7 linked regions of the Rattus norvegicus genome follow. The protein of the gene in region 7 interacts with the protein of the main gene of each other region in a biochemical or structural test. Links are inferred from orthologs where the notes say so. Each region holds a gene or a part of one and is shown on either strand. Other genes may lie near its edges.

What was found.
Region 1: of the proteins of H2ac20 (region 7) and Usp16, one has a biochemical effect on the other in vitro, tested with the Homo sapiens proteins (2 studies listed by BioGRID). The link is inferred for Rattus norvegicus from reciprocal best matches to the Homo sapiens genes H2AC20 and USP16.
Region 2: of the proteins of H2ac20 (region 7) and Rnf8, one has a biochemical effect on the other in vitro, tested with the Homo sapiens proteins (2 studies listed by BioGRID). The link is inferred for Rattus norvegicus from reciprocal best matches to the Homo sapiens genes H2AC20 and RNF8.
Region 3: of the proteins of H2ac20 (region 7) and Ube2b, one has a biochemical effect on the other in vitro, tested with the Homo sapiens proteins (2 studies listed by BioGRID, with this or other methods). The link is inferred for Rattus norvegicus from reciprocal best matches to the Homo sapiens genes H2AC20 and UBE2B.
Region 4: the proteins of H2ac20 (region 7) and Ubr2 form a complex in vitro, tested with the Homo sapiens proteins (2 studies listed by BioGRID, with this or other methods). The link is inferred for Rattus norvegicus from reciprocal best matches to the Homo sapiens genes H2AC20 and UBR2.
Region 5: of the proteins of H2ac20 (region 7) and Rnf168, one has a biochemical effect on the other in vitro, tested with the Homo sapiens proteins (4 studies listed by BioGRID, with this or other methods). The link is inferred for Rattus norvegicus from reciprocal best matches to the Homo sapiens genes H2AC20 and RNF168.
Region 6: of the proteins of H2ac20 (region 7) and Mysm1, one has a biochemical effect on the other in vitro, tested with the Homo sapiens proteins (2 studies listed by BioGRID). The link is inferred for Rattus norvegicus from reciprocal best matches to the Homo sapiens genes H2AC20 and MYSM1.

Annotation. Positions count from the first base shown.
Region 1 is NC_086029.1:40,194,479-40,197,293, forward strand, and holds the end of Usp16 (ubiquitin carboxyl-terminal hydrolase 16), read left to right. Parts: intron 1-1,662; coding exon 1,663-1,819; coding exon of another isoform or gene 1,820-1,921; coding exon 1,922-2,046; 3' UTR 2,047-2,314; downstream 2,315-2,815. UniProt on the Homo sapiens protein: Specifically deubiquitinates 'Lys-120' of histone H2A (H2AK119Ub), a specific tag for epigenetic transcriptional repression, thereby acting as a coactivator.
Region 2 is NC_086038.1:7,700,964-7,704,464, reverse strand, and holds part of Rnf8 (E3 ubiquitin-protein ligase RNF8), read right to left. Parts: intron 2,632-3,501; coding exon 2,524-2,631; intron 1,570-2,523; coding exon of another isoform or gene 1,568-1,569; coding exon 1,363-1,567; intron 1-1,362. UniProt on the Homo sapiens protein: E3 ubiquitin-protein ligase that plays a key role in DNA damage signaling via 2 distinct roles: by mediating the 'Lys-63'-linked ubiquitination of histones H2A and H2AX and promoting the recruitment of DNA repair proteins at double-strand breaks (DSBs) sites, and by catalyzing 'Lys-48'-linked ubiquitination to remove target proteins from DNA damage sites.
Region 3 is NC_086028.1:36,761,144-36,765,279, forward strand, and holds the start of Ube2b (ubiquitin-conjugating enzyme E2 B), read right to left. Parts: upstream 2,801-4,136; 5' UTR 2,725-2,800; coding exon of another isoform or gene 2,700-2,724; coding exon 2,656-2,699; exon of another isoform or gene 472-2,655; coding exon 391-471; exon of another isoform or gene 1-390. UniProt on the Homo sapiens protein: E2 ubiquitin-conjugating enzyme that accepts ubiquitin from the ubiquitin-activating enzyme E1 and transfers it to a E3 ubiquitin-protein ligase. In vitro catalyzes 'Lys-11'-, as well as 'Lys-48'- and 'Lys-63'-linked polyubiquitination.
Region 4 is NC_086027.1:21,553,116-21,556,616, reverse strand, and holds part of Ubr2 (E3 ubiquitin-protein ligase UBR2), read right to left. Parts: intron 3,498-3,501; coding exon 3,420-3,497; intron 2,374-3,419; coding exon 2,203-2,373; intron 598-2,202; coding exon 496-597; intron 1-495. UniProt on the Homo sapiens protein: E3 ubiquitin-protein ligase which is a component of the N-end rule pathway.
Region 5 is NC_086029.1:81,993,579-81,996,306, forward strand, and holds part of Rnf168 (E3 ubiquitin-protein ligase RNF168), read right to left. Parts: intron 305-2,728; coding exon 1-304. UniProt on the Homo sapiens protein: E3 ubiquitin-protein ligase required for accumulation of repair proteins to sites of DNA damage. Acts with UBE2N/UBC13 to amplify the RNF8-dependent histone ubiquitination.
Region 6 is NC_086023.1:114,918,964-114,922,464, forward strand, and holds part of Mysm1 (deubiquitinase MYSM1), read right to left. Parts: intron 2,964-3,501; coding exon 2,245-2,963; intron 1-2,244. UniProt on the Homo sapiens protein: Metalloprotease with deubiquitinase activity that plays important regulator roles in hematopoietic stem cell function, blood cell production and immune response.
Region 7 is NC_086020.1:186,468,247-186,470,645, forward strand, and holds H2ac20 (H2A clustered histone 20), read right to left. Parts: upstream 981-2,399; 5' UTR 933-980; coding exon 543-932; 3' UTR 502-542; downstream 1-501. Other genes in the region: H2ac21 (H2A clustered histone 21), read left to right, coding at 8-400; Hist2h2be (histone cluster 2 H2B family member E), read left to right, coding at 1,252-1,632. UniProt on the Homo sapiens protein: Core component of nucleosome. Nucleosomes wrap and compact DNA into chromatin, limiting DNA accessibility to the cellular machineries which require DNA as a template.

The sequences.
Region 1 (2,815 bases), on a different chromosome or scaffold from region 7:
TTGACCACATGAGCCTACAAGGGGCATTCTCATTCAAACCACCATACAGACAAAATTAGTTTGACTTCTTATATGGTAGAGCTTGTCTTGATACGTTGAGGGCACACAAAAAAATTGAGCAGATATATTACTAGTCTCAGTTTAATATGTTAATGTTAAGATAGGTATACCTGGAGCAGATACAGTCTATGAAGTTCTGCATGTTTGTGTTTCTGAAGGCCATACCAAGTAGAGCATGCCTAAGCACTTAAAGAACATAGTGTGATGAATCCAGTTTTAAAAACAATAGCAGGTAAAGGAACGTTGTGATATGAAATAGTACTTGAGACTAGCAGTAGTTCTATAGCTCACAGAAGGAAACAGGGATTTCAAGCCAAAGAAGATAGGAATGAGGAGGTTCATGCCAAGGAACTTGACCTTATTAGGTATGAAATTGTAAGCCACAGAAGAATGGTACAGCAATTTCTTGACCCAGTCCCACGTGAGTGTTATCTAGACTATTTGCTTTAGTGTGGGAGCTGGATCTGAGGAGACGGGAAAGGCAGCAAATGAGGGAACTGAATCACTTTAACTCCATAAAGCCATGAAGCTTAGGCAGGTAGAAGGGGAAGGAAGAAATGTTTTCTCCAAGTTAAACCTAAGAGACTTGTTTGGTACTAGAAAGGGAGGCAGAGTCCTTTAAGTGGATGTTGAGCAGGGCAGTTGAGGATTTCTGGATCTAGGCTTGAGTGACTAGATGGACACATGGAGTGCCCTAGAGATAGGGCCAGGCATGATGCCTTAAATCCTAGCACCCCAGAGGCAGAGGCAGAGGCAGACTTAGCTCTAGAGTTTGAGACCGGCCCCATCTAGAGTGAGTTCCAAGATACCCAGGGCTACACAAACTGTCTCTCAAAAACCCCAAAAGGATAGGAAGTACAGGAAACAGGCTAGAAGGACTGGGGTCAGCTTTGGATGTAGTGAATTCAGGTATCTTTGATATACAAGCCTCACACCCAAGAGACCAAGGCTTGAGAATCAAGACTGAATTTAACTGAGATTAAAGAGCACACCATAGTTGAAGAGAGGAAAAGAATACTGGACTGGGTTAAGATTTTAAAATCCAGTCCATTATGGCTGAAAAGCAATGGCACTGGAAACCCATGTGAATCACTAGTGCACATACCTCTCTGGGGCAATGTAAACAAAATCCAGAGAATGTGGAGGCACAATTTACCCAAGAGGGCAGAGTAGGATTGTTCAAAAACAGTAAGAGCACAAAGGAAAGTGGTCCCTGCTTGAGGGAATGCATTTGTTACAAGAGCTGTGGTACCTAGGGTCTTCAGCAGCCTTCACTCTGGGTGGGAATGTACAAAATCCAAGTAGTTTAAAGTACAACCTAAATATTAGCCTTACAAGGTTTATACTGTGGTAGAACCAGGATGGCCAAGATATAAAGGTACTTACTTCCTTGAGGCCTTTAACTGGCAAATCTAACTGTTCATTTAACCATGTTTTTGCACCATGAATAATCAACGGCAACTTTGATAAAGGTGAAATAAATTATCTCTGTGGGCTAAGAAGACAGGTGGTGTGACACGCTGTGAACACGTTTTACCACAGACAACTGTGTAAATGGGACAGTAACATTGGATTATATTCTTGCTTTTTTATTTTTTTAAGAACGTTGCTGAGGAAAGTACAAGAGTGCTGTATTCCTTATATGGAGTTGTGGAACACAGTGGCACTATGAGGTCAGGGCATTACACTGCCTACGCAAAGGAAAGAACTGCAAGCTGTCATCTCTCTAATCTTGTTCTTCATGGTGACATTCCGCAAGGTAAATTATCTTACATAATCCAGACATTTTGCATATTATGCCAAAGCCTTCCCCACCCCCCAAAGAAACCTGACTCTTTCCTTTTGTTTTGTTTCCTGGCAGATTGTGAAATGGAGTCAACCAAAGGGCAGTGGTTTCACATCAGCGACACACACGTGCAAGCGGTGCCTATAACTAAAGTACTGAACTCACAAGCTTATCTCCTATTTTATGAGAGAATACTGTGATGACAAGAAGTGTTTTCTCTGGAAATACGCCTATGGCTTTTATACTGGCTATTATAACAATAAAAAGTTAAACTATAAATTATGTTCACCTAAGTAAATGACAGAAAAAAATCATGTTTATTTAAATACAGACAAAATTAACTTACAGCAGTTTTTGTATTAGCATACTGGTTTTTACTCTTTCTAGTTTCAACTTTAGGAAAGATTTGAATAACTAAACTGACTGGGTGGTAGTTCTTGACACATCAATAAAGTGATATTCCCAAAACGTGCTTTATTAAATTTTTAAGTTATTACTGTAACCCTACTGGCAGCATCATGTTTCACTACTGTAGTGCTGGAAGCGATGTGAAGTCCTGGTGTCAGTGTGACTCTAGACATTATGCTGCAAAACCTTGTGAAAAGTCAGCCAGTGATTATTGAAAAGCTTATGAACTTTGGCATGGTGACAAACCAATTTATAAGCCACTGTATCAGGTTACTGGAGCTTAAATCCAGACTGGGATTGGAAAAATAACTTTGGAAATGAGAAACGATTTCTAGCCTCTTAGGTCTCTGTTACAACTATTCAAACTGTCTGTCCCTTGTAGAATGCAACTGCCAACATAGATACATGGTATGGTCATAGCAGTTTGCTTTTAGAAGCAGTCCAGATCTATAATGAGAACAGTCATGTGAGTAACTTGACATTGACACAAGCAGTAGTTAATCAGATGGCCAGAACAGTAACACGTTTATTGTACCACCCAGCAGAGAACAAACACAAATA
Region 2 (3,501 bases), on a different chromosome or scaffold from region 7:
TTCAAGGGTCAGATCACACTCCTGGACAGGAACTGGCTAAGCACACTGCCTGCTCCGCGCCCACACCACCCGGTCCTGTGTGAGCCTGCTGCCTGCCCCGCTTCACATTGCGGCTGCGTATGAATCAGCAACAGACCCGGCCCTGTGGAAAAGCCGATACCTGTAGGAGGGCTGGGAGGCAAGAAAGCCACGAACGGGACAGCATCTCTCAGCTCAGGAGTACAACCAGGCCACTACCCTGTGGCACGTGCCGGCATCATGGACAGCAGCTGAGTTAATTACCAATTCCCAGAAGGCAGGGGCAGAGCGGGACAGCCACGGGCACCCTGTCTTTTGTGCAGTGGCTCTCTATGCCAGCCCTGCCAACCCAGCAGCTTCCTTGTTTTGTGCTGAGTCTTCTGCTGCAGCATGAAGGGGCGGCTTTCTGCAGCCCTGAACACAGCAAGCCCCACGCGTGACATCACCACTTAAACCAGTGGCCCTCAGCCCGTGGGTCACCACCCTCAAAGACCATCAGAAACACATTTACATTGCGATTCATAACAGTAGCAAACATAGAGATGGTTATGAAGTAGTAACAAAATAATTTTACGGCTGGAGGTCACCACAACAAGAGGGACTATTTTAAAGGGTTGCAGCATTAGGGATGCTGAGAACCACTGACTTAAAGATCAGCGACTCTCGCCATCCCTTCCCCAATGTCTTTACCTCAAGTTCCCTGATGGGGGGAGAAAGGGGGGAGGGGGAGAGGGAGAGGGGGAGGGGGAGAGGGAGGGGAGAGGGGGGGAGAGAGAGAGAGAGAGAGAGAGAGAGAGAGAGAAAGTGTGTGTGGTGTGTGTGTGTGTGTGTGTGTGTGTGTGTGTGTGTGTGAGGGAATAGTGCTAGGGACTGATATTAGTCAAGTACCTTACAGAGCAGTCCCTTACAGAGCAGCCAATGAATGCATTTGCTTCCCTAGGCGAACGTCCCGGGCACACCGCCTGCCATCGCTAGCTGCCTTCAGCAGCAGCACCACCTGGTGTGCAGACAGCAAACCGACGACTGTTCTGGTCCCAGCTTCCCACTGCCCTCCATTCTTCCTTTTTTTTTTCTTCCCCTTCTTCTTTTTTTCGGAGCTGGGGACCGAACCCAGGGCCTTGCGCTTCCTAGGCAAGCGCTCTGCCACTGAGCTAAATCCCCAACCCCAATTCCCTTCTTCCTAAGCGGGCTATCTGAACTCCGTATACTCCCATTTCCCCTGCCTGTACTTCATTCAACAACTATTCACTAAACTCCAATCTCCAACCTCGCCCCGTAAGAATACCTGAGGTAGTTAAATACAAACATCCCTGTTAGGGAGCAGGCGTTGTCAAAGCTCCTCACCTCTTCGTTCCCTAATGAGGACGCTTCTCCTCTCCTTCACGTCTGAGCTCAGGCGTTCCACCATCTTACTGATGCAGTTGTCCAGAACCAGCGAGTTGGTTCTGGACTCAATGTCCTTCCGACAGATGGGACACTCCACTTTCCGCTTCATCCACTCACTGATGCAGAAGGAGCAGAAACTGTGGGCACAGTTCAGGGTGACAGCCTGCAATGTGAAAGGGACATTCTGACTTTCTCAAAGCACAACAGAGCATGAAGGCCCCCAGGGAAGCTCACCGCACCCCACCTCACAAAGGCGCTCTGCCCTGGGTCGGGAGGCTCGCCACCTGCTTCCGTCTCCCTGTCCCGCCTCCCCTAAGAGCAACGCTAAATCTCTCCACAGACCAGAGACTAAGCAGGAAACAAAGACCTATAGCCAGAGTGACTCCAGTCAGCTGGCCTTCCCTCAGGAGGCTGACACACCCAACGCGCATCTGACTTCCCGAAGGTAAACAAACAAACCCTCCCGCTATTCAACTGCAAAAGCGGAACACTCTTAGCATAAGATGAACTGGTTACAAATGGTAGGAAATTTATGGTTGGGGATTTAGCTCAGTGGTAGAGCGCTTGCCTAGCAAGCTCAAGGCCCTGGGTTCAGTCCCCAGCTCCGAAAAAAAGAACCAAAAACAAAAACAAAAAACAGCTGGTATAATAATATGGCAAAGTAACAATAGGAGACAGGTGTTTGCTTTTCAAAAGGACCCTCAAAGCCATGAAATATATTCATTCTGGCGCCCGATGCCCACAGTGACCACCATCAATGGCATTCACTACCCTGCTCCAAGGCCAAACTACAAGTTCACACGCAGCACAGTGCCCGTCCGGGGTAGCACAGTGCCCGTCCGGGGCAGCACAGTGCCCGTCCGGGGTAGCACAGTGCGTCCGGGGTAAGGGAGCAGCAGTGGGCAGGTCCGTTCCAGTACTTCAAACCCTAATGCAAGTCAACGTCTAAGAAGGAAACAGCACAGTGAAGACTGCATGACGTAGTAATAAGTAGCAGCTCTCTCGTCTCTTCAGAATGACCCCCCCCACCCCACCCCCGTGCTAGAGGCTGGTGCACTGCGGTGGGTGGGGGTGGGGGTGGGGGTGGGGGGACGTGGGTGAGCCACCGCTCGTACTTAACTCGATGAAGTACTCTGAGCAGATGATGCACTGGAGCTCGTTCTCCAGCACGTCGTTCATGTGGCTGAGAACTTCCTCCTTCTGTGCTTGGACCTTGTCCTTTTCTTCCTGCAAAGACACAAGACCGCCTGTCACGGGAAACCACCAGAATGCGGGACAGGCCGGGAGCAAGGTTAGCCGAGCACGGCAGTCTCGGCACCTGTGCAAGAATGAAACTCTCCCTGTGGGTCGCCCTTGCCCAAGAGCCGCCTCCTCACAGCTCACCAGCAGTGTGACAGCGTCAGGATGAAGTCCTGAGGTGCTAGGAGGGTGGGCAGACAGGACTAGCAGCCTAGAACAAAGGCTGCATGAACTGGTTCTTCTCTTCCCCCGTGAAGACATAGTGGGAAATATCATCTATGAACCAAAATCATGTCCTTGCCAGACTCCATCCACATCTGCCAGTACCTTCAGGACTCCCAGCCTGCAGAGCTTTGAAAGATACATTCTGGGGCTCACCAGCTACCTGGTTTATCGTACTTGAGCTGCAGCAGCCCGGGTGAACTAAAACCCCACCTTCTCCGTGTCTGCTCCCTATGTGATTTTTGTTCCTTTTCCCAAACAGCCAGGGTGGGTCACAACCTGAGTGATAAAAACTTTCCCTCGAAACTATAATTTCAGGGGCTGGGGATTTAGCTCAGTGGTAGAGCGCTTACCTAGGAAGCGCAAGGCCCTGGGTTCGGTCCCCAGCTCCGAAAAAAAAAAAGAACAAAAAAAAAAAAAAAAAAAAAAAAGAACAAAAAAAAAAAAGAAACTATAATTTCACAGGACAAGAGATAAAGAGCACTCCGGGGGCAGGGGCCTGAGTGTGTAGTTAGTAGCTGTCTTTGAGGACAGAAGAATAAATACTTATCCTGTGATCCCGAGGCTTGGCTGGAAAGAAGTCCTCTTGGGCTCCAACCCTCCAATGTTTGCTTCTGTTCCCGTCTATCCCCGAGG
Region 3 (4,136 bases), on a different chromosome or scaffold from region 7:
ACCTGGAGTGACCGTAAAACCATACCATAGCTAGGTACAGTATCAAACTCCCACAATCCCAGCTACTCCTGAGGGCCTAAAGCAAGAGGATCACTGCAGCCCAGTTCAAAATCACCCCGATCAACACTGTAACACCTTGTCTCAAGGGAAAGAAACCAAATTAAACTTAACAGCAAGGAGCAGACCAATTTTATATAAATGTCCCAGACTCAATAAAATGTTTCAGGAGCTGGGTATACAGCTTAGTGATAGGAGCACAATAAGCACAGGAGGCCTATGGTTCTCAAAAAAGTGCCCCCTACCCCAACAAGTGAGCTTCGGATCCACCTCAGCCTCTTTCCTTGGTGCTTATATACTTACTTTTCCTAAGCAGTCGCTATTTCAACTCACCCAAATATAACTGCGTTCCACTGCATGATGTTGTTTTCAGATGGTGCACCACTGACCCCCACAGGTGGGTCCTCTTGCAATCTAGAAATCCAGAGTAGTCATTTTCAGAGTTGAACATAAAGGTCAGTGAGGTCAAATTCTACTGAACCTATTCTGAGAGACTGACTAGACTGACTTATTGTTGGAGCTGAAATGAGCTATGACTTAAAAGAATCAACCAGGTTAATATACTTACTAATACTACCAGTGATCTCTAAGCCCAAAGGACTAGGTGGTCATCCTTCTTCACACAGCAAGATTTAAGATATGATCTCTTGAAGAACTCTTGTTTCCAGACTGCCCTCTTGACCCATTACAAGTTTACAATTTTAGCAATGAAAAATATTTTAGAGAATCTGCAACTACCAGGTGGTAGTGGTGTGCATGCCTTTAGACCCAGCACTTTGGAGGCAGCCTGGTCTACAGAATGAATTCCAAAACAGTCAGGGCTACACAGAAAAACCCTGTCTCAAAAAACCAAAACCAAACACCAAAAACCAAAACCAAACCACACAAAAGCCTACAGTTTTTCTACCTTCATCATGCAAGGATCTCCAGTCCTAACACAAAATCGTAGGAAATCTCCATACACTAAATAACTGAAAAGCATATTCAGTTTAACTAGAAAGCGAACCACACTTTATGGTCTGTGCTTCAGACAGTGGCTTTCTCAAGTAGCCAGAAGCTCCAGCTAGCTTTCCAGCAGTCTCTCTTTTAAAGACACTGCTCTCAGGCCAACTCTACCTTAGGCCTTCATACAAAGTTTCATACAGCACTTTCAACAGACGTCATCATCAATTTCATGTAACCTCAAGATCCTTGGAAAACCACCAAAGGCACCTTGTACTCAATCGGGTACAGAAATTGCAAAAATGAACAAGAGATAATAATGGATGATGTATTAGCCATAATGGCAAGGTTTATTTGCATGCTACAGAGCCAATCAAATATAGTGACTTCAAGCCTTTTGCACCAACAAGGGCATCTCATCTGTCAGATCATAAAAAAAAAAAAAAAAAAGCCTTCCACCATACAAAGTATGTCATGATTTTTAAGTGGACACTTAGCGATCAGTCCACATTAAAAAACAAACAAACAAACAAACAAACAAAAAACCTCAAGCAGATTATGCCACTAACAGGGCTGAGAGGAACGAACTTACTGCCTGATTCCTCAATTTTAAGTGGCTAAAATCAGCAACGAATTAAATGAAGCTGTCCAAGGCCCAAGACCTCCAAATGCCCCAGACAGGGCTTTATAAAGGCAAAGTCGAGCAGTTGCTTCCTGAGAGGCAAATCTAAGTTTTTATAGTACAGATCTGTCTCAATCACAGCGGGTCTGCCCAGAAAGAAAACTTAGAGGAGTATCTTGTCGCTGGATTTCAAGTTACGGTTGCTGCACTTGTACGTTTCCAAGGAGAGGTAAACAACTGGAAGAGGAAGGAGAGGTCATTTTCTTCCTTCAAGCCCCTTATTTCCTATAAACTCCTATTTTCCAAAAGGAGGCCCAGGTGGAGTATCAGATTAGCTCCAGTGTGACGGAAGGCATTTCCCAGGCCGGGGAGGCTATAGATAGGCCTTTATTCGGCAGCCAGATCTTAGTTCCAGAAGGCACTGGCAGCGGAGTGGCTAGCTCCAGGTCCAGGTTTCCCGAGCCAGTTCTCAAGGTCCTTCCAGGTGGGCGGGGGCAGATCGGGTTTCGGGGGATGGGCTAACCACCTCCGGACCTCGCGCAGCAGACCCCACCCTCACCACTGCAGAAAGGGAAAGAGATTTGGGACAGTATTCACCCCAACCCCGCTACAAATAGGAGACCACGGGGCCCTGTAACAAAGCTGGACTGGTCCTCCAGGCGAGGCCAGAACCTCAGGAAAAGCTCCCTAGCACCACCTGCGGAGGGGACACCGCAGGGTGCAGAGGCGGGAGGTGAAGCGTCTGCATTTGGCCTAGGTGGGCCTCTGGGACACCTAGGCCCAGCGATGGCTACCTTCCTACTTTTGGGGGGGGGGGGAGGGCAGGTGGCTATAATACCGAACATCTTTACTCAAACAGAGGGAGGTATGAAGCGAGGGAGTAAGAGTCGCCGGTGAGCCGGGGCTGCCGTGGGTCCCGCAGGCCCACTGCCCCCCTCCTCAGGGTCACCGGGGGAGGATATCCCGGATCCCCGCCCTACAGTCCATAGCTTCGGGAAGAGGCCGTCATATTGGGCTAAGACGAGGGCCCTTACCGCTTGAAATCCCGCATGAGCCTCCTACGGGCCGGGGTCGACATGCTCCGCAGCTGCCCCGCGGTCAGTCTGAAAGAAAAGAGTCCCGTTCGGCCCCCCCACCCCCCGGCGCAGCGGCCGAATCACTGTGGGTCGCCGCCGCCACCGAGACTGCACAAACAACCCTGCAATGACGTCTCCCTCCGCCGCCTCCAGATCCCTCCGCCCTCCGCCAGTACCACCGCTGGGAGGAGGGGAGAGGGGGCGGGGCGAGCGGGCGCGCGCGCGACCCTGGAGGCGCAGGAGGCCGTCTTCGGGGCTTCTTGGCTGTGAGGAACTATGGAAGGTCCTCTCCGTGCCCAGGCTGGACACGGGCCGGCCCGACCGCGCCGGAGCCCACACGCTACCTTGCCTCGCTCCCCCCGTCGCTAGTTTCAAGTTCGGCCGGACGGGGAGAGAGGTGCATCCGGAGCCTGAGATTTCGGGGAGAGGAGGTGGGATGACGTCAGGTCACGTGACCGCTAGCGGCGTTGTCAACAATCCACCCCTGAGGGGGAGGGAGCGAAGTATCTAGAACCACGTGTGCCTGTGACGCCATCAGAACAAGTCACGTGACGGCCTAGCCTGGCTCTTGGTTTCAGGTCTCACAAAGCAGGTCCTTGAGTTTAAGGAGTTGACACCTCTAGTCATACATTATTCTTTTGGTCCCAAGTACTGGGACTTTGCATAAGGAGACATTGTGGAAGAAGCCACTTGGCGTTCTGAGTCTTTAAAACGGAACAAAAAAATCTGGACTTAATTCTGTTTCAAGTGGCTTAGCAACTCTGGCACGTGGGACAGGTACTGAAAGTGTGGCAAAGCCTTGTAATGAACAGCTTTGAATACTATGGTCCGTGCAAATCAGATGGGATTAAGGGCATTTGGATCAATTATAGCCTGTATGGGATTTCCATACTTAAAGTCTATACAGAAATGAGAGTGGAATAGATTGTCCAAGCCTTAAAGACTCCATCTATGGAGTCTTAGAATTGGAATCTGTGATTTTGCCTGCGGTGGGGAACAATTGTATTTCTCAAGAAACGAGTGGGTGTGATTTTTAGGGCATATCAATGGGCTGCTGGTTGTCAAAGAAACCTACCAAAATGATTCAGATCGGGGGAGAGATCATGCAGACATGGGTGGGAGTTATATCTCGAGTCTGAGGTAACTTAGTACAAGCTTTGTACAATAGCAAAGAGGGGCCAAACGGACCGGAAGTGCTCTGTGTGTGTGTGTGTGTGGGGTGATTCTCAGCAGGTTCAGTAGCCTTCACACACACACACACACACACACACACACACACACACACACACCGCCCCGCAAGCTCCTGGAATTCCCAATCTCAGCTTCTAGCACTGATGTTAGTTCTAGGGACCCGAACGGTGGAGTAGATGCGGAATTCTTTAGCTCTAGAAGGGAAAAGAGCATGAGAATCTACTGCTCCACTCCTTCCTATATACATA
Region 4 (3,501 bases), on a different chromosome or scaffold from region 7:
TTGACATGTGAGTGGTCATAACCTGTGTGTAACACAGGGAGAAGTCAGAAGTCACCCTCAGGTGTCTTCCTCCTTAGTTACTTGCCAGTGTGTTTCCTGAGAGAGGGTTTCTTGCTCTTTGTCTGAGCTCACTGACGGTGAGGCTGAGGAACACCTCCCTCTCCTGCCATCTCTACCTCCTCAGACTGGGGTCACAAGGGTGCAGCACCACACTCAGCCTTTCGCACATGTCCTGGTGTCCTCAGTCCTCATGCCTGCATGGCACGAGTGTTACCACTGCAGCCTTCTCCCCACCCACTCCTGGCTTCTCCAAGGTAGAAAAAAAAGGAGCCAGGTGCCTCCTTGAAAACCAGAGTCCACCGGCAGCAAGCCACCTTCAACAGAAGCTACGCCTGGGTACCGGCCCAGCTGGCCCTCCCGGCTCATCATGCTCACCATGAAGGAAGGGTTCTTTGGCTTAGGGTCAGTCTTCCTAACCCCAGGCTGGGTCCTTACCTGAGTCCCTGGTCAGTCTCCCCGTAGTCATCAAGGTAAGGAGGAGAATAAAAACAGCCTTTGGTTTTGCCAGCTAAAAATAGCACCTGACATTCCCGTACTCTGTGGAGAGAGCAGTCATCATTGTGCATTTATGTAAGTAACAGGGTGTTACATTAATTCAACTCGAAGAGAAAGGGCTTACGTAGGGAAAAAAATGCATGAGCACCCCGGGTCAGGAGACCGGAGTAACTACAGCAGACACCGGAGAGCAGCAAGGTACCTGCCCAAGTCTGGTGTGGTGCAGGATATCCAATCACACCGTGAACACCATGATTGTGTTACTTACTGAGAAAAACTGTTTCTAGTTGTGGTGCAGCTCAATTTTAGCACACACCTTTAATTCCCGTAGCTGAATAGACATGCCCTTAGCACACACCTTTAATCCCAGAGTTTGCAGAAGGAAACACCCATGTTTGAATGTGATGAGCAGAAAGGTGATGAATCAGAAAGATTTGACAGAATAGGATAGATCTAGTTCTCTCAGGGAGATGAAGGAAAGGGAAGCTACTTAAGAGGCAGAGGGGGCGTTGGGGATTTAGCTCAGTGGTAGAGCGCTTGCCTAGCAAGCACAAGGCCTTGGGTTCGGTCCCCAGCTCCGGAAAAAAAAAAAAAAAAAAAAGAGGCAGAGGGAAGTGAGGGAGGAGGCAGTTTTCCCGAGAGTTTCACAGAGATAGGATGAAAAGAGAATGAGCCAGACAGAGGTGAAGACAGAACAAGCCAGAGAAGGAGAAGGAGCCAGAGATTAGAACAGATCGCCAAAAGGTAGTGTGAGATCAAGCAGAGCAATTCAGAAGCCGAGAGAAGCCAGACTGAATCAGTCAGGGTGGAGGAGTTTGATTGAGTCAGAACAGCTGAGCTGAGCAGCCAGCCAGACCTCAGAAGTAACTGGGAAGGGGTGAGCTTATTCAGCAGTAGGTCTCTGAGGCTGAACACAGTGTAGACCTAGGTTAGATTGTGGAGGGTAGACGCTCTTAGGACTAGGCCTAGGTTAGCAGTAAGCCTCTGGGGGAACAGTTACTCCAGGAAAGTCAGAAACAGTTTTACACAAGTCTTCAGTGGAACCCCGATGCTGGAGTGTACCTGGTAGTGATGTGCTATGAACGCATACAGTGACTTTGTGTCGAGAACCCAGGGCTCCAAGAGTAGAATTTAAAACAGGTAAGTGTGGGAAAGACAGCTAACTTGTAATCAAAATGCTATTAATCTTCCCCCAAATTATGAGAAAATTACGCGTTTTGAAAACTGCACAACAGTTACTAAGTCCTTCCTGTCTGAGTACAGTTCCCACTGACAGCCTGTGACTGCAGGAAAAGCCAACAGCACTGGCAAAGCAGAGGGAAGCTATGCTGGTTTACAGACTCAGGAGGTGTATGTGTAGGTGTGGGAGTCCACAGAGACAGCAGACCCTGAGCAGTTGTGAGCTGCCATGCGGACCCACACGCGGGTCTTCTGCAAGAGCAGCGAGTCCTGACAGGGAGATCGTTACCTGATAGGGGGAGGGAACTGGGGACAGGGTGCTCATATTTAAGGAGACACAGGGGAACTGAGCTGTCAGCGGCCATACGGGCGATGTGAGAGCCACGGCCCTTCATGGTCTGCACACAGTGGCACAGTGGCTTCAAAGTGCCTGTGGCGTTCAGGTGACCAGCACGGCCGAGGCCCTACCTCAGGAAGATGCCGGCCCCAGAGCCGCAGGAGTAGGTGTGTGCTGTGCAGGCCCCGACATCCTCGCCCTCCAGCTCGGCTTGGCAGCAGTAACTCTGAGAGCAGAGGAGACTCCCACATACGAGGCACAGGGTAGGGGCTCTGCTCTTGTCACCACCTGATTTGGGGCACCTGTAAGACAGAGACACGATAGCCAGCAGTGCTACGGAGGAACAGGTACAGAGCACCCTGGAAGATAATCTGTCAGTGCTAACTATCCTGTGACAGGACACTGGGACACACACTAAAACCACGTACCAGAAACACCCAAGGGAGCAACATCGGGGGGACAGGCACACACGAGTACCATGTGAACAACAGGAAAGACTCCGGGGCAGGAAGAGTGATGTCCGCAGTCACGCCCAGATCTCAGATGCAGTGCCAAGTACTGCAGACACAGACAGCCACTTAAATGGACAACTGCTGTCACTCAGACACAGGGAAGGGGAGAGAAGAAACTTCAAATGACAGATTGCATCGGTCAGGATGGCACGTCTGGGCTGTATGCATAAGGGAGCAGACTGAGCAAACCAGTAAGCAGCGTGTGGCCTCTGCCTCAGTTCCTGCCTCCAGGTTCCTATTCTGAGTCCCTGCTCTGACCTCTGTCAGTGACAGACTGCAACCTGTGACCAGGTTAACACTTTCTCCTCCCCATGTTGCTCTGGTCAGTGCTTTATCACATCAGGAGAGTAAATTAGGGCAGAGACTTAGCACAGAACCCAGAATGCTGTGTCTACGGGAAAGGAGGGAGACGCAGGAGATACCCGGAGCTTCAGTCTCACAACAATGCTTGATTTATGATGAGCATCCTCTATGCTGCCTGAGCACGAAGTGCTTAAAAACTCATTAGGAATCACAAACTTAGGGCTGGAGAGATGGCTCAGTGGTTAAGAGCACTGACTGCTTTCCCTGAGGTCCTGAGTTCAATTCCCAGCACCCACATGGTGGCTCACAACCATCTGTAATGGGACCAGATGCCCTCTTCTGGTGTCTGAGACAGAGACAGTGCACTCAATATGGGTAAATAAGTAAATCTTCCCATGGCAGTGACACTGTCCCCATCATGTCATGGAAAGGACTGCTGATCTTTCTCCCCCAGTGAAAACAAAGAGCAGCACAAACCCTCCCTCCGCCTGCCTGCAGAAGGATCTGGGGAGGGCGCTAAGGAAGTAACTTACGAGAAATTGGAAGCTTGGTTGATGAGGCTGCTGTAGTCCTCCGGAAGGTCTATCAGTTTGTTGGCTCCTCTCGGGTAGCTAC
Region 5 (2,728 bases), on a different chromosome or scaffold from region 7:
ACTCTTCGTTTTCTATCTTGGTAGGAGGCTTAACTGCAGCTTCCTTAGAGTTAGAAACTATGGCTCTAGGTCCACCATCATTTACAATACATGAATCATCAGGATTGGTTGACACTGCTTCAGCTTTTCCCTCAAGGCACTGTTCAGCATTCCTTGCACATAGCCATGGCACAGGCATCTCTGTCAAAGGCTCCGGACCTTGCCCTTGAGTTTCTGGGCAGGTCTGAGGAGAATGTGTTGGCATGCTTTCTTCAACGTCTGTGTCTTGCAACACAGGGCTCTTCGTGTCACTACTGTCTGTTTCCTGTAGAAAACAAAATTCCTGAGTATATAAAGGGAAGACATATAAGCCAGCTACACCAGTATCTTATATGAATGGTCACTGGACACAATCACATATTACTAATCAGGGATTCTCATCACCATTGTCGCCCTACCTTTTCTTCTCTTTCTTTTTTAGATTTATGGATGTGAGTACACTGTCACTCTCTTCAGATGCACCAGAAGAGGGCATCAGATCTCATTACAGATGTCTGTGAGCCACCATGTGGTTGCTGGGAATTGAACTCAGGACCTCTGGAAGAGCAGCAGTGCTCTTAACCGCTGAGCCATCTCTCCAGCCCCTTCTCCGACATTTTAAAGATTTTATTTTTAACTATGTGTACAAGAGTGTGCGGCAGGGGAGATGTATGAACACAAGTGCAAATGTCCCCAGAGTCCCTGGAGCTGGAGTGACAGTTGATATAAATGCTGGAAACCACACTAGGTCTTCTGGAAGAGCAGTGAGTGATTTTAAAAACCAAGCCATCTCTCTAGCCCTTCTTTGGTATTTTAATGAAGTGTCTACAAAAACCTCTTCAGAGGAACCGACTTTTTGAGATAGGATCTGGTAACTTATCAAACTGACCTGACTCTCTTGGGTAAGAGATCCTGAGACCCTAGCCTTCCAAGGACAGGACTACAGGCATGTGGCACTGTGCTTCAAGCTTTGTTGTTTCAAGTGTTGATGGGTATCACACTAGGACCCTTGCCACAAGCTAGGTTAGTGCTCTACTTCTGATATCCAGAAAAAACCCTGCAATACATGTCCTGACGAGGGGAATGGTAACAAGGTTATTATTTAAAAACAAACGTGTGAGCTGGGAGTGGTGGGGCATGCCTTTAACTACAGCATTTGGGAGGCCGACAGGTGAATCTCTGTGATTTCAAGACCAATCTGTTCTACATAATGAGTTCCCTGACAACTGATTAAGACCCTGCCTCAAAAACAAACTAACTAAACCCAAAAGTAAGTGTGTAAGAAGAGTTGGTGATGTAGCTCAATTGCAAAAATCCTTGCCTACAATGTAAGAAATCCTGGATTCAAACCCTAGCACCACATAAAACCAGACATGTTGGTATACACCCAGAACTCCAGCACCCAGAAAGTGAAAGTGAAAAGGTCAGTAGTTCAAGGCCCTCCTTGGCTACAGACCCAAGTTAAAAGCCAGTCTAGGCTATGTGAGATCCTGGCTTGTTGTTGTTGTTGTTTTGTTTGTTTAATTTCTTTTCTTTTTAAAAAAAAATTATTTAAAGTATGAGCACTCTGATGCATATACATCCACAGGCCAGAAGAGGGCATCGGAACCCATTACAAATGGTTGTGAGCCACCATGTGGTTGCTGGGAATTGAACTCTGGACCTCTGGAAGAACAACCACTACTCTTAACTGCTGAACTATCTCACCAGCCCCTTTTGTTTAATTTCTTAACCCATAAAAGGTTTTTATTGATAAATAAGATACAGTAGCAAATAAAATCATCTGTATATTAAAGAAGAGAGAAATTTGTAGTAAATATGTTTCCCTTCCTCTCCCTTCTTCTTCCCTTGGTGCTCAGGATCAAAGCTGGACCTCTATGTACAGACTGTATGTATTACTGATTTACACTTCCAGCCCCATTTTGTTTCTCAGGCTCTCCCAAGCCCTGAGTATGCTACCATTCCTAGATAATACCTGTGTTTTCTCTCAATGACAGAGTCACAAGTACTATTACTAGTAACTGGGTGTGTGTGTGTGTGTGTGTGTGTGTGTGTGTGTGTGTGTGTGTCTACATTCAACAATAAAAGAAACACTAATGAGAGATTAGCAAAAATACACCCTTTCAGGCTGTAGGGATGGCTCAGTGGTTAAGAGCTCTGACTGTTCTTCCAGAGGTCCTGAGTTCAATTCCCAGTAACCACATGGTGGCTCAACAACCATCTGTAATTGGATCTGATGCCCTCTTCTGGTGTGTCTGAAGACAGCAACAGTGTACTCATATACATAAAACAAATTAAATCTTTAAAAAAAAATACACCTTTTCTTTTACCTAACCCTTAGGATAAAGAACTTAATTTGCAGGGTTGAAGAGATGAGTCAGTGGCTAAGAAAAGAGGCTTCACATCAGAGGACCTACTGTCATGTAGCTCCACTTCCAAGGGGAACTGTGGCCTTCTTCTGGTCTCCACAGCACCAGCACACAGACATGCACACTTAACAGGCAAAATACTCACAAGACAAAGCTTGAAGTGACTCTGATTGACTTTATTTTTGAAACAGTCTTACCATGTAGTGTAGACCAGCATGGAACTTGCTATATAGCTCAAATCATAATCCTCTGGCTACAGCTCCTGTGTGAAAGGATTATAGGCCCACACCACCCTGCCCCAAAGACACTGACGGGGTTTGAGTGACACCACACCCATGTTT
Region 6 (3,501 bases), on a different chromosome or scaffold from region 7:
ATCAAATCCATAAATCTACAAGGTCTACAGAAGGTGAAAATAAGTGTGATAGAGGAGAATATTGTAACTTCCTCAGAAAAGCTGAGACTTCCATGTTTGATGAAAGGAAAGCGAACTATGCAAGCATGACAAAAATATAGGAAAGCGCACAGCTACTAAAGAATGGCAGGAGCCTGGAAAGTGGTTTCATCTGCATCTGTCTTCTCTAATCAACAGGCTTACGCGTGGCTTAGATAGTAAATATTTCTGTTCACCAAAGACTCTAAATCTTCTCCAACAACTAAAATGCCTTCTGTCATCTAAGCACTGTCTTAAGCAGGGGGTACTTGATTAACAGAACAAACAGAACTGCCTTCACATTGCCTGTATTCTTACAGGACTACGGTAGGAGACGATTCACAAAATGGCAGCATTTTCAGTGGTATTAAGTTGTATGACAAAAACAAACAAAGGATGCCAGAATAGGGAAGAGCATCACCACACACATCACTTTCCTTGAGCAGAACCAAAGAGTCAAAGAGCCAGTACCAGAAGCTCTGAAGGAAGAGAAGGTTAAGGCCAGAGTTACAGCTCTTTAAATACTGAATCAACCCGGAAGCTGAAGTCACCTTCACAAGAGAACTGAAGACGGTTTAAATATAACAAACACATGGTATGTGGTAGAATAAGGTAAAATAATGTTATTAACAGTTGACTAACACTTTAATAAAAACATACCCCTAAGTAAAACCAATTGTACCTGTTCTCATGGAAAAGAAAGATCTGTATGTCTCTTTGTTTTTAAAACTTTATCTTCTCTTTTTAAAAAAAAGTACCATCTATATTGTTCTATACTTTATACTTTTTCTTTAAAAACATTTCTTTTGCTTTTATACTTTTCCAATAAATATCTCATACTTAAACAGCAATATCAAATAGGCTTTGTGTATTAAATAAAAGGACTTAGGAAACTACTGCCATATAATCGACACCATCTCTGTAATTTATCCTGCTAATTTAAAATCCAAAATTCAGTGTGACAAACTTTGTCTAAAATAACATTAAATATACACAAGTTGTGACATTTCTGAGGTAGAAATTGTTTTGAAAGTCTTTGATTTTGGCTATCCATCATTTTATTTCCAAAACCAAACCCAGGTATGAAGAGAGATCTAATTTAATCCACATTTAAAAGCTGTCAACTAGGTAATGTAGAGTAATAGAATGAGTGAGTTGGACTGACACCTTTCTTGGGTCAGTGTCTGGTTGAAAGATCAAAGGCAGGTACCCTAAGATCTGAGATCCCATTGCCTATTTCACAGGCCTGTTGTGAAGACTCAAATGAGATGATTCAGGGCAGCCTTCTGTAAACCACAAAGCTCTAGGCAAATGGCAGTTGTTTCTCTTAAGTATTTCTTACTCTAATGACATTCTTAGCCAGAAGATGGTTCTTCAGTGGTCGTGTTGGTGCAAAATCACCATGACACAAAGCCAGAGCAAACATTTTGTGAGAACATGGCTGTCTTTAAAAGCCAAGTAAATTAATGTTATCTAAGTGCAATGAATTATTTAACAATGTACATGTTAATCTTAGGTAGCATTTTAGGTTCTAGCAGAAAGCCACTGAAACAGGACAGAGAAACCTTTGATAGAGGAGAAAACAAAGGACAACACAGAATCCACATCCAAAGATCTGGAAAGCTTTCTAAAACACTAAGAGCATCTATGGATGCTTGAAGGAGCCTTAGTTACTCTCAGTGTATCTAGGCTAATAAGGAGGGTAGTCTTTTGGTTTCCTAAGTAATTGTGTTCATTCCACATTCAAAGTTGCAAGCACTGAAGAGCTATTCAGATGACAATTTCTGTACTATAATCATGTTTAACAATATTTCCTGTCTCTGAGTTTGTCCTTTTTTATTCTCAAATACATGTGAAACTGGAAATTCTCTCCTTTCCCAGGCCAATATGTTCTATAGTTATAGCTTCCCAACACTGCCCCAAGAAACTGCTGCCCCCTAAAAAATATGGCCACTCCCTTCTAGCCAGGCTTCTCTTCTACAGTGGGATGACATGTTGTGATAGCAATGGATGCCCATGCTTATCAAAGTTTTTAAGAGGTTCACTATGAGAAACTTTAAATCATGACTACTGAAGGAAGACATGCAGAAGCTCTTTGAGTCTCTAGCAAATCCACAATTCTGCATGGTCCTAATCTATATGCTTTAGAGTACCAAGTTTTTAGAACATGTACAATGTAATTCTTACCACTGATCCAAAATGTAGTTTCTAATTTTCAAATAGCGTTCTGGTGTTTTAGTTTGACGCCCCTCAAAAAACTCAGGAATTGCTTGCTTTTCTTCTTCTTGAATGACATTTCTATCTATTTCTACTTCTTGTTCCGGTGGCTTAAGCTCTTCTCCTTCATGGTTTTCCTCCTCCACTTGGCAAGGAGGCAAAAGCAGTTCATTTCCACGTGGGTCCTTCTGACCCTCACAGGGCTCTGGAGAAGGTGAGTGCTTGGTTTCCTCTGTTAGCATAGTGTATTCCTCAACCAGTTTACTGTATTTCTCATTTAATTCAACTGAGTTTTTGCCATTATTATTTTGTTTTTCAGCCCATGACATAATTTCTGAGCTTGAACATGCTTCTGCTTCACTTTGCTTCACATTCTGAAGATTTTCTTCTGCAGATTTAGCTAATGAACCTTCTTGGCATAATTCTCCTTGGTTGGTCTTATACATTTTACTACTAGGAACATCTAAAGTAAGATGGCCGCCATAATTCTTTTGTGATGTTTGAGAAGTCAACTCATCCAGCTCATCGGTGATGTCTACATCTTCATCATCAGACAACTTCTCTATTTTTACAGCATTAAGGTTGGGATCTGATGCGACCCACACCTTTGTCCTTTCATCTTTATTTTTAACCTGAAGATCACTGTTGCTCTTCAAAGTTGGTGTTTCTTTCTCCGCACCCCACTTTACCTTATTAAGAACCAAAATAACACACACACATATTATTAAACTAGATTTGAGGTTTAATCACTTTATACAAAAAAATTAGATAAAATGTTTTTAAACTAAGCACATGTTAACAGATATCATACCTTCACTTGCTTAAAAAAAAAAATCTTATAAACTTAATTTAAAAAACGGACAAGTAAATAACATCATACACCAAAGTCTGTAAGTTAGACCCAATTAACCAGACCCAAAGTCTATACATCTCAGTGAATTTCTACAGCTAGAACAGCCATTCTGAACCTGTGGAGCTCCACACTGGATTCCATACTTTCACTCTTGAACATACTTTTATGCAAGTATCTACCACCAAAAATGAAGAATCCTTGACAGAGTTTTGGTGTTTTAGTTTTGTTTGACTAGAAAAGCAGTTAATTTTATATCCTCTTTCATTTTTCATATACATCACCTGCACTCATTCTGTCTTCATTCCCCTTATATCTATCTAGCCTTTCTTGTGCTCCTTTCTATATGTTATATTATACCCACACGTACATTTGCT
Region 7 (2,399 bases):
TTCCGCCATGTCCGGCCGCGGCAAGCAAGGAGGCAAGGCCCGCGCCAAGGCCAAGTCGCGGTCGTCCCGCGCCGGGCTGCAGTTCCCAGTGGGTCGCGTGCACCGGCTGCTGCGCAAGGGCAACTACGCGGAGCGCGTGGGCGCCGGCGCGCCGGTGTACATGGCGGCGGTGCTGGAGTACCTGACCGCCGAGATCCTGGAGCTGGCGGGCAACGCGGCCCGCGACAACAAGAAGACCCGCATCATCCCGCGCCACCTACAGCTAGCTGTAAGGAACGATGAAGAGCTCAACAAGTTACTAGGAGGAGTCACCATTGCCCAGGGTGGGGTCCTCCCCAATATCCAGGCTGTCTTACTACCGAAGAAAACGGATAGTCATAAGCCTGGAAAGAACAAATAACTTAAGTATCCTTTCCCACACAAAAAGGCTCTTTTAAGAGCCACCAAAGTGTCAACCAAAGGGCTGGTCACAAACTAGCGCGTTAGCTCCTTTTATGAAGATTTGGTGGCTCTAAAAAGAGCCTTTTTTGGATTAGTGAGTTTCACTTGCTCTTAGCCTTGTGGCTCTCAGTCTTCTTGGGCAGCAGCACGGCCTGGATGTTGGGCAGGACGCCGCCCTGCGCGATCGTCACTTTGCCCAGCAGCTTGTTGAGTTCTTCGTCGTTGCGGATGGCCAGCTGCAGGTGGCGCGGGATGATGCGGGTCTTCTTGTTGTCGCGGGCCGCGTTGCCCGCCAGCTCCAGGATCTCGGCGGTCAGGTACTCCAGCACCGCTGCCATGTATACCGGCGCGCCGGCGCCCACGCGCTCCGCGTAGTTGCCCTTGCGCAGCAGCCGGTGCACGCGACCCACTGGGAACTGCAGCCCGGCGCGGGACGACCGCGACTTGGCCTTGGCGCGGGCCTTGCCTCCTTGCTTGCCGCGGCCAGACATAACTAAGATGTAGAGTAAGACTAGCTGAAGTGACAACTCTGATGAAGCTAGGTTGGTTGGCTCTAAGACCTTTATAGGCGTTCCTAGGGGTGGGGTCAGGAGGGAGCTTTTCATTGGTCGTTATTTGGCCCCAGAGAAGTCCAATGAAATCTGAAATTTTAGACTTGTACTGAAAACGCAAGTTTCGCGTATGGGCCAATGGAAATTAAAAGTACTTTGAGACCTAATTTGCATAACATGTTTATAAAGAGCTCAGGTCCTCGGGGGCCCTGATTGTTTTTCTGCTTACTAGACTGTTTTCCACTATTTGCTTTCAATCATGCCTGAACTGGCCAAATCCGCTCCGGCTCCCAAGAAGGGCTCAAAGAAGGCTGTCACCAAGGGGCAAAAGAAAGACGGCAAGAAGCGCAAGCGCAGTCGCAAGGAGAGCTACTCCATCTATGTGTACAAGGTGCTGAAGCAGGTGCATCCGGACACGGGCATCTCGTCCAAGGCCATGGGCATCATGAACTCGTTTGTCAATGACATCTTCGAGCGCATCGCAAACGAGGCTTCTCGCCTGGCGCATTACAACAAGCGGTCTACAATCACATCGCGGGAGATCCAGACGGCGGTGCGTCTCCTACTGCCCGGAGAACTGGCTAAGCACGCTGTGTCGGAGGGCACCAAGGCGGTCACCAAGTACACAAGCGCCAAGTAGAGGTCTCCTGGATGAAGCGCTCCGGGCCCTTTTGGGCTTTAAAGTCTCTTGCAGTCACTCGCTCAAATCAGGAGAGAGCTTTGTCCACTCGCATTAGTTTTCTAGTTCCTATTCCAAAGTTACTTTAAGGGTCTTGGAAAAGGTACACTCAAGACATTAAGCCTTTGTGGTTTTGAGTTTCCCTGTGGGTTATCAGGTTTGCAGTTAGCTGCACCCTACTTAGTTTCTTGGAGTTCGTTTTAGACTAGGATAACTGAGGTGGGTCTCTGGGCCCGGCTTCCGTGTTCTAGTCTGTTGTGTCCCGGTGCCTTTTGCTTGACCTAAAGTGAGGTGGTTTCCTTACCTTGTCGATTAGAGCCTTCTAATCAGCTAAGTCTGTGTTGATGAATGCTGGGTACCAGCCATCTAAAACTGAAACTGCTCTGACTTTAGTAGCTGTGTCCTGGGCACCAGCGGTTAGGGCTGCTTAGGGCGGTGTCCCTCTGACTTACTGATGTATAAACACGAGTGCTTCGCGTTGCTGCAGATTCGTTAGAAATCTGTTGTAGTTCTCTATCAGACTTTAGAATCCCTGTTCGTGTCTTGTTTTGTTCTGTTTAGGTTCTTGTTTGTTTGTTTGGTCGGTTGGTTGGGTTTTTTTCTTCCCATTTAATACTTTGCGTTAACCGCTGCAATGCCAGGTTACCACAAGGATACTGTTCCTTTTCTCTCTGGGCCCGTGAAGCCATCTTTCTAATCCACACACTCAGTAATTAGCATTTTTTTCT